Oryzias latipes: one gene and its partner. The protein of the gene in region 1 purifies or fractionates together with the protein of each later gene. This does not show direct contact. Links are inferred from orthologs where the notes say so. Each region holds a gene or a part of one and is shown on either strand. Other genes may lie near its edges.

Region 1 (3,641 bases):
ATTAAAGGTGATTAATTTCCAGTTGAGGTGCAGACGCCGAGACTCCTTTATGTTGACTTGCTTCAGTGCCTTTTCATTGTTTTCCAAATACTGATGTCCTCAGAAGAAATAATTCTTCTTTACAAATAGACAATTTAACAGCTAAAAGAGGGAGGAAAGCTACATAAACGTTCATGTGATTTTTGATCATTTTTATAAAGTGTAATTTTAAACTATTTTTTTGAATTATTACTCAAATTATATGTTGAAATGTTTCACTTTGACACAGTTATTTGGTGAGTAGACCTTTTATTTTTCTAAAATAATATTTTTGCTGTTTTAGCACCCAACAGATGTTGACTACAGAGTCATGGCAACTTTCACAGAGTTGTACACAACCCTGCTGGGGTTTGTGAACTTCAGGCTCTACCATTCCCTCAACCTGGTCTACCCTCCAAAGGTATTTTGAACTGGAGACGATTTTAAGACATACGTATGAGCTCCACTTTGAACCTACTCTGTTTTCACACAGCTGGACATTAAAGCAGAGTCGGAGCTCAAGGGAGAGAATGAAGATGAATATGCTATGGACTCAGAGAGCTACCCCGAGGTTAGTTTTTATTTATTTGTTTCCCACAGTGAACAGCCTAAAATGCCTGTTTTTATTTACGGCCTTTTGTTTTAGTATTTATTTTCTCTTTGACTTTTATTGTGGCCCTAAAATCACATTAACACATTTAGCAAAAAAACTTGTGAAAGATCACAATGACAATTAAAAAAGACAAAACTATTAAAAAACATAAATGAATAAGATTACATTTTAGTAATTGAAGCAATATTCCAGAAGCCAAAACCAAAACACAATACCAGAAAAAGGAAACAAAATAAAAATGAAACGTTTCAGAAATTAAAATTAATGTCCAGAAACAAAAGGAGAAACCAGGAAAGGTCGGTATTGTGGGTCCTAACTGATTGAATGATGACGTTTGATCACCTTTTCAACGAAAAGTTATTTGGCATTGTAGACAGAAGATATTTGATTAAACTTCTGGCCTCAGTTACTGCAAAGGGTTGACTGCTCATTCTACTCTCAACCACAGTTTGGGCAACACATTCTTCTGCTTTCCCTCTTCTTCAAAACTCAAACATCTTCATCCAGTCAGTGATACCCACCTTTCTTGGTCTCTTATTATTTAATGTTTAAACATTTCATTTTAATTCTGGCAATTCCTTTTGTTTTCCAAAAATGTTTTTTTTTTATGGTTTGGTTTCTAAAATGTAAAATATATATATATATAGATATATAGATATTTTTTTATCATTATCATCTTTTTGTTGTTGTTTTGATCTTAAATATGTTTTTGCATTGAATGATTTTTACTTCAGGTCCACCATAGACTTTTCCTTTATTTACATAAAAGCAGGATCAAACAGGATTTAGGCATCATGGTGCTAAAATGGATGGTATTTTATTAAACTAAAACTTTAGTCTGAGTTTTTTTCCCTCTTTTTCTAATACTGTATAAACATAAATAAAAATGAAGTAGATGACAGGGGGAAAACGTGATGTTTTATCTGTGCAGAAACTTGCAGCTCTCAGTGCCAGCCTGGCCCGGGTTGTTTCTACAGCAGAGGAAGAAGATGCTCAGCTCGATGCGTTTCCTACGGAGGAGGCAAGACATGTTTGGAATTTTTACATTTGTTTTTATTATACTTGATACAAATGTTTATTTTGTGGAAAAACTCCAAAACAACACCAAATAAATTCATAGGACATTCATTACTCTCTCAGGACAATTGGGCTAAAAAATTAGAATGTAACCAGGGATTTACAGCTTTATGTTTGTTTGCCATTGGTGCTTTGGTTCTCACCTGAGAAGCTTGTTTTGCTTTGCCAGTTTAAAATGGTCATCTAGGAATCGCGTAACACCATAGGGACTTCATATGGCTCTTTAAAAAAACAAACAAACATTTTTTGAGAGCCATAAAAGTCATTAGTGCAGTTTAAAGAGCCAAGTCTAAACTAACGTTTGGTCTTTTCAAAGACACTCATCTGCCTCTGAACACCACACTGATGATGGTACAATGCAAAGTTCTGTCAAATGTGACAAAAAGAGGATTAATTACCTAAACATTTTACTTTTGAATTTTTTTTTTTAATACTAGTTTGTGTCATGAACATGCATAATGAATATTTATGAATTTCACTCTTTTAAAGCAATGTTTATTTCTTAAAATAAAATAAAGAATTGTCATTTATAATTAATATAGAAAAATGACTTATTTTAGGGTTAAGGGTCAGCATTTTCGGTGCATAATGGAAAGCCTTAAGTTTAGCCTGCATCATCAAGAAGTGAATTAGGATACATGCAATTAATCTTTATCGCTCCATTTATAAAGGCAAAATTAAAACTCATCAGTATTTGAAACTTTTTTTTATTGTTATTTTTCTTCTCCAGGAGGATTTGGAGAAAGTCGAAGCTCGAGAAAAGGAGCAAATGCAGCTGGAAACCCAAAAAAAGATTTTTGAGGGACTCAAGTTTTTCCTGAACAGGGAAGTTCCCAGAGAGTCACTGGCTTTTGTCATCAGGTAAACACACTTTTGGGAAATTAAAGCTCCATTCTGATGAAAATTGTGTTTTGGTGTTTTTATGGAGTACATGTATAGAGGAAAATTATGCCCGGAATTGCATTTCTGAGTATTTCTTTATTCAAATTGCTGTGAAACAGGAGCAGACAAAAAAATGCCATTTGATAAACCTTGTAGGTGTTACAATCAGCGGCTCACAAGCTTCCTGTTCCGCTCCATTCTGATGCACCTCAACTGAGCTGATATCTGGCTCAAAACTGTACGTCTGGATATCTCCGATATTGCTCGCCGTTTTTGTTGCACCGGTAATATTAGGTGGGGGGGGGGGGGGGGGCTGTTAGCTAGCAGGAGAACACATAAGCAGAGAGCTCAGTTATGGGTGACGGGAAATGGGGGAAGGTTGCTCTCGGAAAACAGTCAAGAGGTGAATTTCTAATGAACTCCTGCCGCTCCGCAGGAAATATGACCCAGAAAACGGAGCAGGTTTTACTGATTTTAGCTAAAAATGGCATAATCATAATTACAAGACCAGTGGGAAGGAACGCTTAATAATAAATCCAAAGATGATCGGAGTGTGACCTTAATCATAAAGTAATGGTCACAATAAATCCAATAGCTTTGCTTCTGCCTTTCAGGTGTTTTGGTGGAGAGGTGTCCTGGGACAGGTCTGTCTGCATTGGGAGCACGTATGATGCCACAGACGAGACGATCACACATCAAATTGTGGACAGACCTAATGTGGACAAAAGCTACATCAACAGGTGAAGAAAACGATTTTTGATGACATTTCTGATCAGATGCAGTTTAAAAACTAGAAGGAGCTGCATTTCCAGAAGAAAATGCAGGGTTGAATGCTATATTTCTGAATGAAAACTTAAAGGGTCATAATTGGCAAAAATAAATAAAAATTGAAGTGGACCATAAAGGGAAAACAGCACAATAACAGAGTATATTTTTGTGAAAAATGCTAGCGCTGGGTATCGAACCAGCAAGCCCCTGCACCAAGGATTCCCCGTGTATTTCAATGGAGGCAAAAATCCAGGAATATCTTGAAATTTTCAAGGATTTGAAG
Region 2 (3,845 bases), on another chromosome or scaffold:
GGTTATCCACAGTGGAAGGTCAGGTTATCCACAGTGGAAGGTCAGGTTATCCACAGTGGAAGGTCAGGTTATCCACAGTGGAAGGTCAGGTTATCCACAGAGGAACGTCAGGTTATCCACAGAGGAACGTCAGGTTATCCACAGTGGAAGGTCAGGTTATCCACAGTGGAAGGTCAGGTTAAACGCAGAGGAACATCAGGTTATCCACAGAGGAACGTCAGGTTAAACGCAGAGGAACGTCAGGTTATCCACAGAGGAACGTCAGGTTATGCACAGAGGAACGTCAGGTTATCCACAGAGGAACGTCAGGTTATCCACAGAGGAACGTCAGGTTATCCACAGTGGAAGGTCAGGTTATCCACAGTGGAAGGTCAGGTTATCCACAGTGGAAGGTTAGGTTATCCACAGTGGAAGGTCAGGTTATCCACAGAGGAACGTCAGGTTATGCACAGAGGAACATCAGGTTATGCACAGAGGAACATCAGGTTATCCACAGATGAACGTCAGGTTATGCACAGAGGAACGTCAGGTTAAACACAGAGGAACGTCAGGTTATCCACAGTGGAAGGTCAGGTTATGCCTGTATCGTCTCTCAGTCCTCCCTTCTTCCAGCTCCGTTCTTCCACAGAAACCGCTCTGACCACAGGGATTAGTGAGCAGTTCCTTCATGGGAACATTAATAAAATCATCTGGTATATGACAGAGCTGACATATCTATGCATGTAGCCTCCCAGCGGGACTCATTTCCTCTTCCTGTATTCCAACACTGCTGCGGATGTGTGAATGATTCATTCTGACTGGAAGGCCACCATGTGAACGTTTGTTAGAAACAGACTAAGTTTTTCTGGGCCCACGAACACGCTTGATTCTGATCCGACCATTGATCCCATCAACATATTTTGCTCATGTAACCACGGCTTATGGTGTCGACTGGCAGCGTGGCGGGGGTGTGGCGGGGGCGTGGCATCACCATGGTGTCTCTCCATGGTGATGCCGGTCTGTCGGCACGACCCTACTTGTCTGAGGAGAACCCTGACCAGTGTGGTGCTTGTGGCCCCCCAGGATCAAAGGCGTCAGCCCCAAAGTCAGGAAGGTGGTGCAGATGATGAGGCTGAGGAAGATCTTCAGTGGAGCCTTCATCAAGATCAATAAGACGTCCGTGGCCATGATGAAGGTGGTGGAGCCGTACGTGGCGTGGGGGTGAGTTCCTCGGCCCGCTCTCCTTCCGCTTTGGGTTCTTTGATGTTTATCGGTTCCGCTCTCAGGTTCCCTAACCTGAAGTCGGTCCGGGAGCTCATCCTGAAGCGAGGTCAGACGAGGATCGGCAGGAGGCGGGTTCCTCTGACGGACAACGCGCTGATCGAGCAGCACATGGGTACGTCTTTTCAAAATAAAACACATCTTTGTGCTTAGAGCTGTGACGGTGTCGAATTTTTCATCACCGTGGTGATGAACCACCAGGGGGCGCGGTGTCGCGGTTAACCAACAACCAACAACTACATATTTAACTTGTGAACTAACTATAGGTGTTGTAGATTGACTGTGTGTGAGCGCGGAGCGTCTTGTGTAGGAATAGTAGGAAGGCGCGCACACGTGTGTTGGGGGTGTGTGTTGATTCTTCTGCAGCGGACCGCTCTGGAGCTGCACGCAAGTTTCACCTGTGCTCTCTGGTACAGACATCTTCTCAGAATATTATTTATTGCCCAGTAATAAACAGACTGCAGACGCTGTCACCTTTCCGGTAGCCGTGAAGCCTGACAGCCATGAAGAACGCGGGGCAGGAGGCTCCGCCTCTGTTTATACAGACACGTAACGTTACGCTGCAAAAAATAGTTCCCAAAGAAAACATGTAGTGATTTTCATGGAAATCTAACAGTGCGCGTTCATGTTTGGTGTTACGGATTGAAGGAGGACAGTTACACCCCCCCCCCCCCCCCCCCAACACAAAATCCTCCGGTGGGCGGCCGTGTCGCGCACTTAGGAACGCACGCAGCTTGTAATGGAAATGAATACAATGGAAATTAATAATTAGAAAGCAGTAAATTTGTCGTATTTCCTCACGAGACGGAAACTTCTGTTGTAGAATAAGGATGTGTGCTTCTGAAAGCGCGCGCCTGTTTGTGTAAACGGAGCCGCGTGCAGCGCGAAGGCAGACACTGAGAGCACGAGCGGTGGGAGAAAAGGAGACAACAGTCTGAAAGAAAGAAAGTCTGAACACTAGCAGAAAAAGGAAATTATCAGCAAAGATGAACGTGTTTATTATAGTTCCAAACACGCACCAAAAAAAAAAAAAAAAAGTGCGTCAAAAAAGTGCGGTGATGCGGTTATCGTCACAGCCCTATTTGTGCTTGCACTGAAGTCTTTTCAGAATAAAGTTTTAGAAATTGAGAACAAAGATGGAAAAAGAAACTTCCTGCTTGTTGGACACGAATATGAATGTCTCTGCTATAGGCTCCGCCTCCACAAAGACTCTATTTTGTAATTCCAGCAGATTTTCTCGGGTGAAACTTTTTTTCCCTACTTTTCTGGAAATAACAGTAGAACCAACAACAGTTCTGATCATACGGAACATTCTACAGTAAACAGCGTCACAGAGCTGCAAGGAACCCGTCTGAGCCGTCAGAACCAGTGGTTCTGGTCGTGGTTCCTGATTGGTCCGTCTAAGCCCCCGCCCTAAAACCTGCTGTGATTTCCCCCATGGGGGGTTCTGGTGGGGTTCCTGTGCGTGTGTCCTTTTGGACCTCCTGCTCACATGCAGAACCTTCTGCCCCCCCCAGGTAAACATGGGATCATCTGCTTGGAGGATCTGATCCATGAGATCTTCTCAGTGGGGAGGAGCTTCCGGCCCGCCAACAACTTCCTGCTGCCTTTCCGTCTGTCGGTGCCGCGTCACGCCGCACGCGACAAAGCGGGTCTCCTGAAGGACCTGGGGGGGCCGGGCTTCCGCGGCGCCGACATCAACGCCATCGTCAGACTGTTGAACTGATCCGGACCGCAGCTGCTGTGGGTTTGAGGAGAACCGGACCACAGTTCTGCTGCTCCATGACTCGCCCCAGATTACACCCAGAAACTTTGCTGGAGGGGTCACCGTGCACGTGTGTGCACGTGTGTGCACGGCGGAGGAAGACTTCTGCTCCTGCAGGAGCTCCTGAATGAACACTTCCTATAAGAAGACGACTAAATAAAGTTTTTCTACTAAACTGAACGTCCCATTCTGTAAACCGGGGGGGCTAAAGACCCCCCATACCCAGAGTTGCTGGTTCATCAGCTAAAACGGAATGGATTCTGAATGTGGGGGGGTCATAGTGCTGGGAATTTACTGGGGAGGGGTCCGGTTCAGCTGAGGACTTTTTCTGTTTTACCTCCAGCAAACTGTATGAAGCTTGTTTTATTTATAAGAACGGATGATTTATTTGACTTATTTATAGAAACTAATTTATTTGACTTATTTATAGAAACTGATTTATTTGACTTATTTATAGAAACTGATTTATTTGACTTATTTATAGAAACTGATTTATTTGACTTATTTATAGAAACTGATTTATTTGACTTATTTATAGAAACTGATTTATTTGACTTATTTATAGAAACTGATTTATTTGACTTATTTATAGAAACGGATGATTTATTTGATGTAAACCTTCAGAATGAATCTTTGTCGGTTTGACTTTTGCGTTCAGCACCAGAACATCCCAGATTTTGAACTAAATCTGTTGTTCATATGATAGTTTTCTGGAGGAAGTGTAACGGCTGCATTGTGTGCATGAGGATGGAGTTTGGTGCTGGTCGTCAGGCAGATCTCGTGGGATGAATTTGGCGCAGGTTTGGAATTTCCGCTCCAT

Evidence for each region. Proteins that work in one complex are often made in the same cells at the same time.
Region 2: the proteins of pes1 (region 1) and rpl7l1 purify together in Homo sapiens (affinity purification with mass spectrometry; 4 studies listed by BioGRID and IntAct, counting the BioPlex papers as one, with this or other methods). This does not show direct contact. The link is inferred for Oryzias latipes from reciprocal best matches to the Homo sapiens genes PES1 and RPL7L1.

The regions. Positions count from the first base shown.
Region 1 is NC_019867.2:13,306,971-13,310,611, forward strand, and holds part of pes1 (pescadillo homolog), read left to right. Parts: intron 1-322; coding exon 323-439; intron 440-511; coding exon 512-589; intron 590-1,562; coding exon 1,563-1,652; intron 1,653-2,438; coding exon 2,439-2,569; intron 2,570-3,204; coding exon 3,205-3,330; intron 3,331-3,641. UniProt on the Homo sapiens protein: Component of the PeBoW complex, which is required for maturation of 28S and 5.8S ribosomal RNAs and formation of the 60S ribosome.
Region 2 is NC_019882.2:429,202-433,046, reverse strand, and holds the end of rpl7l1 (60S ribosomal protein L7-like 1), read left to right. Parts: intron 1-1,062; coding exon 1,063-1,200; intron 1,201-1,265; coding exon 1,266-1,375; intron 1,376-2,777; coding exon 2,778-2,986; 3' UTR 2,987-3,200; downstream 3,201-3,845.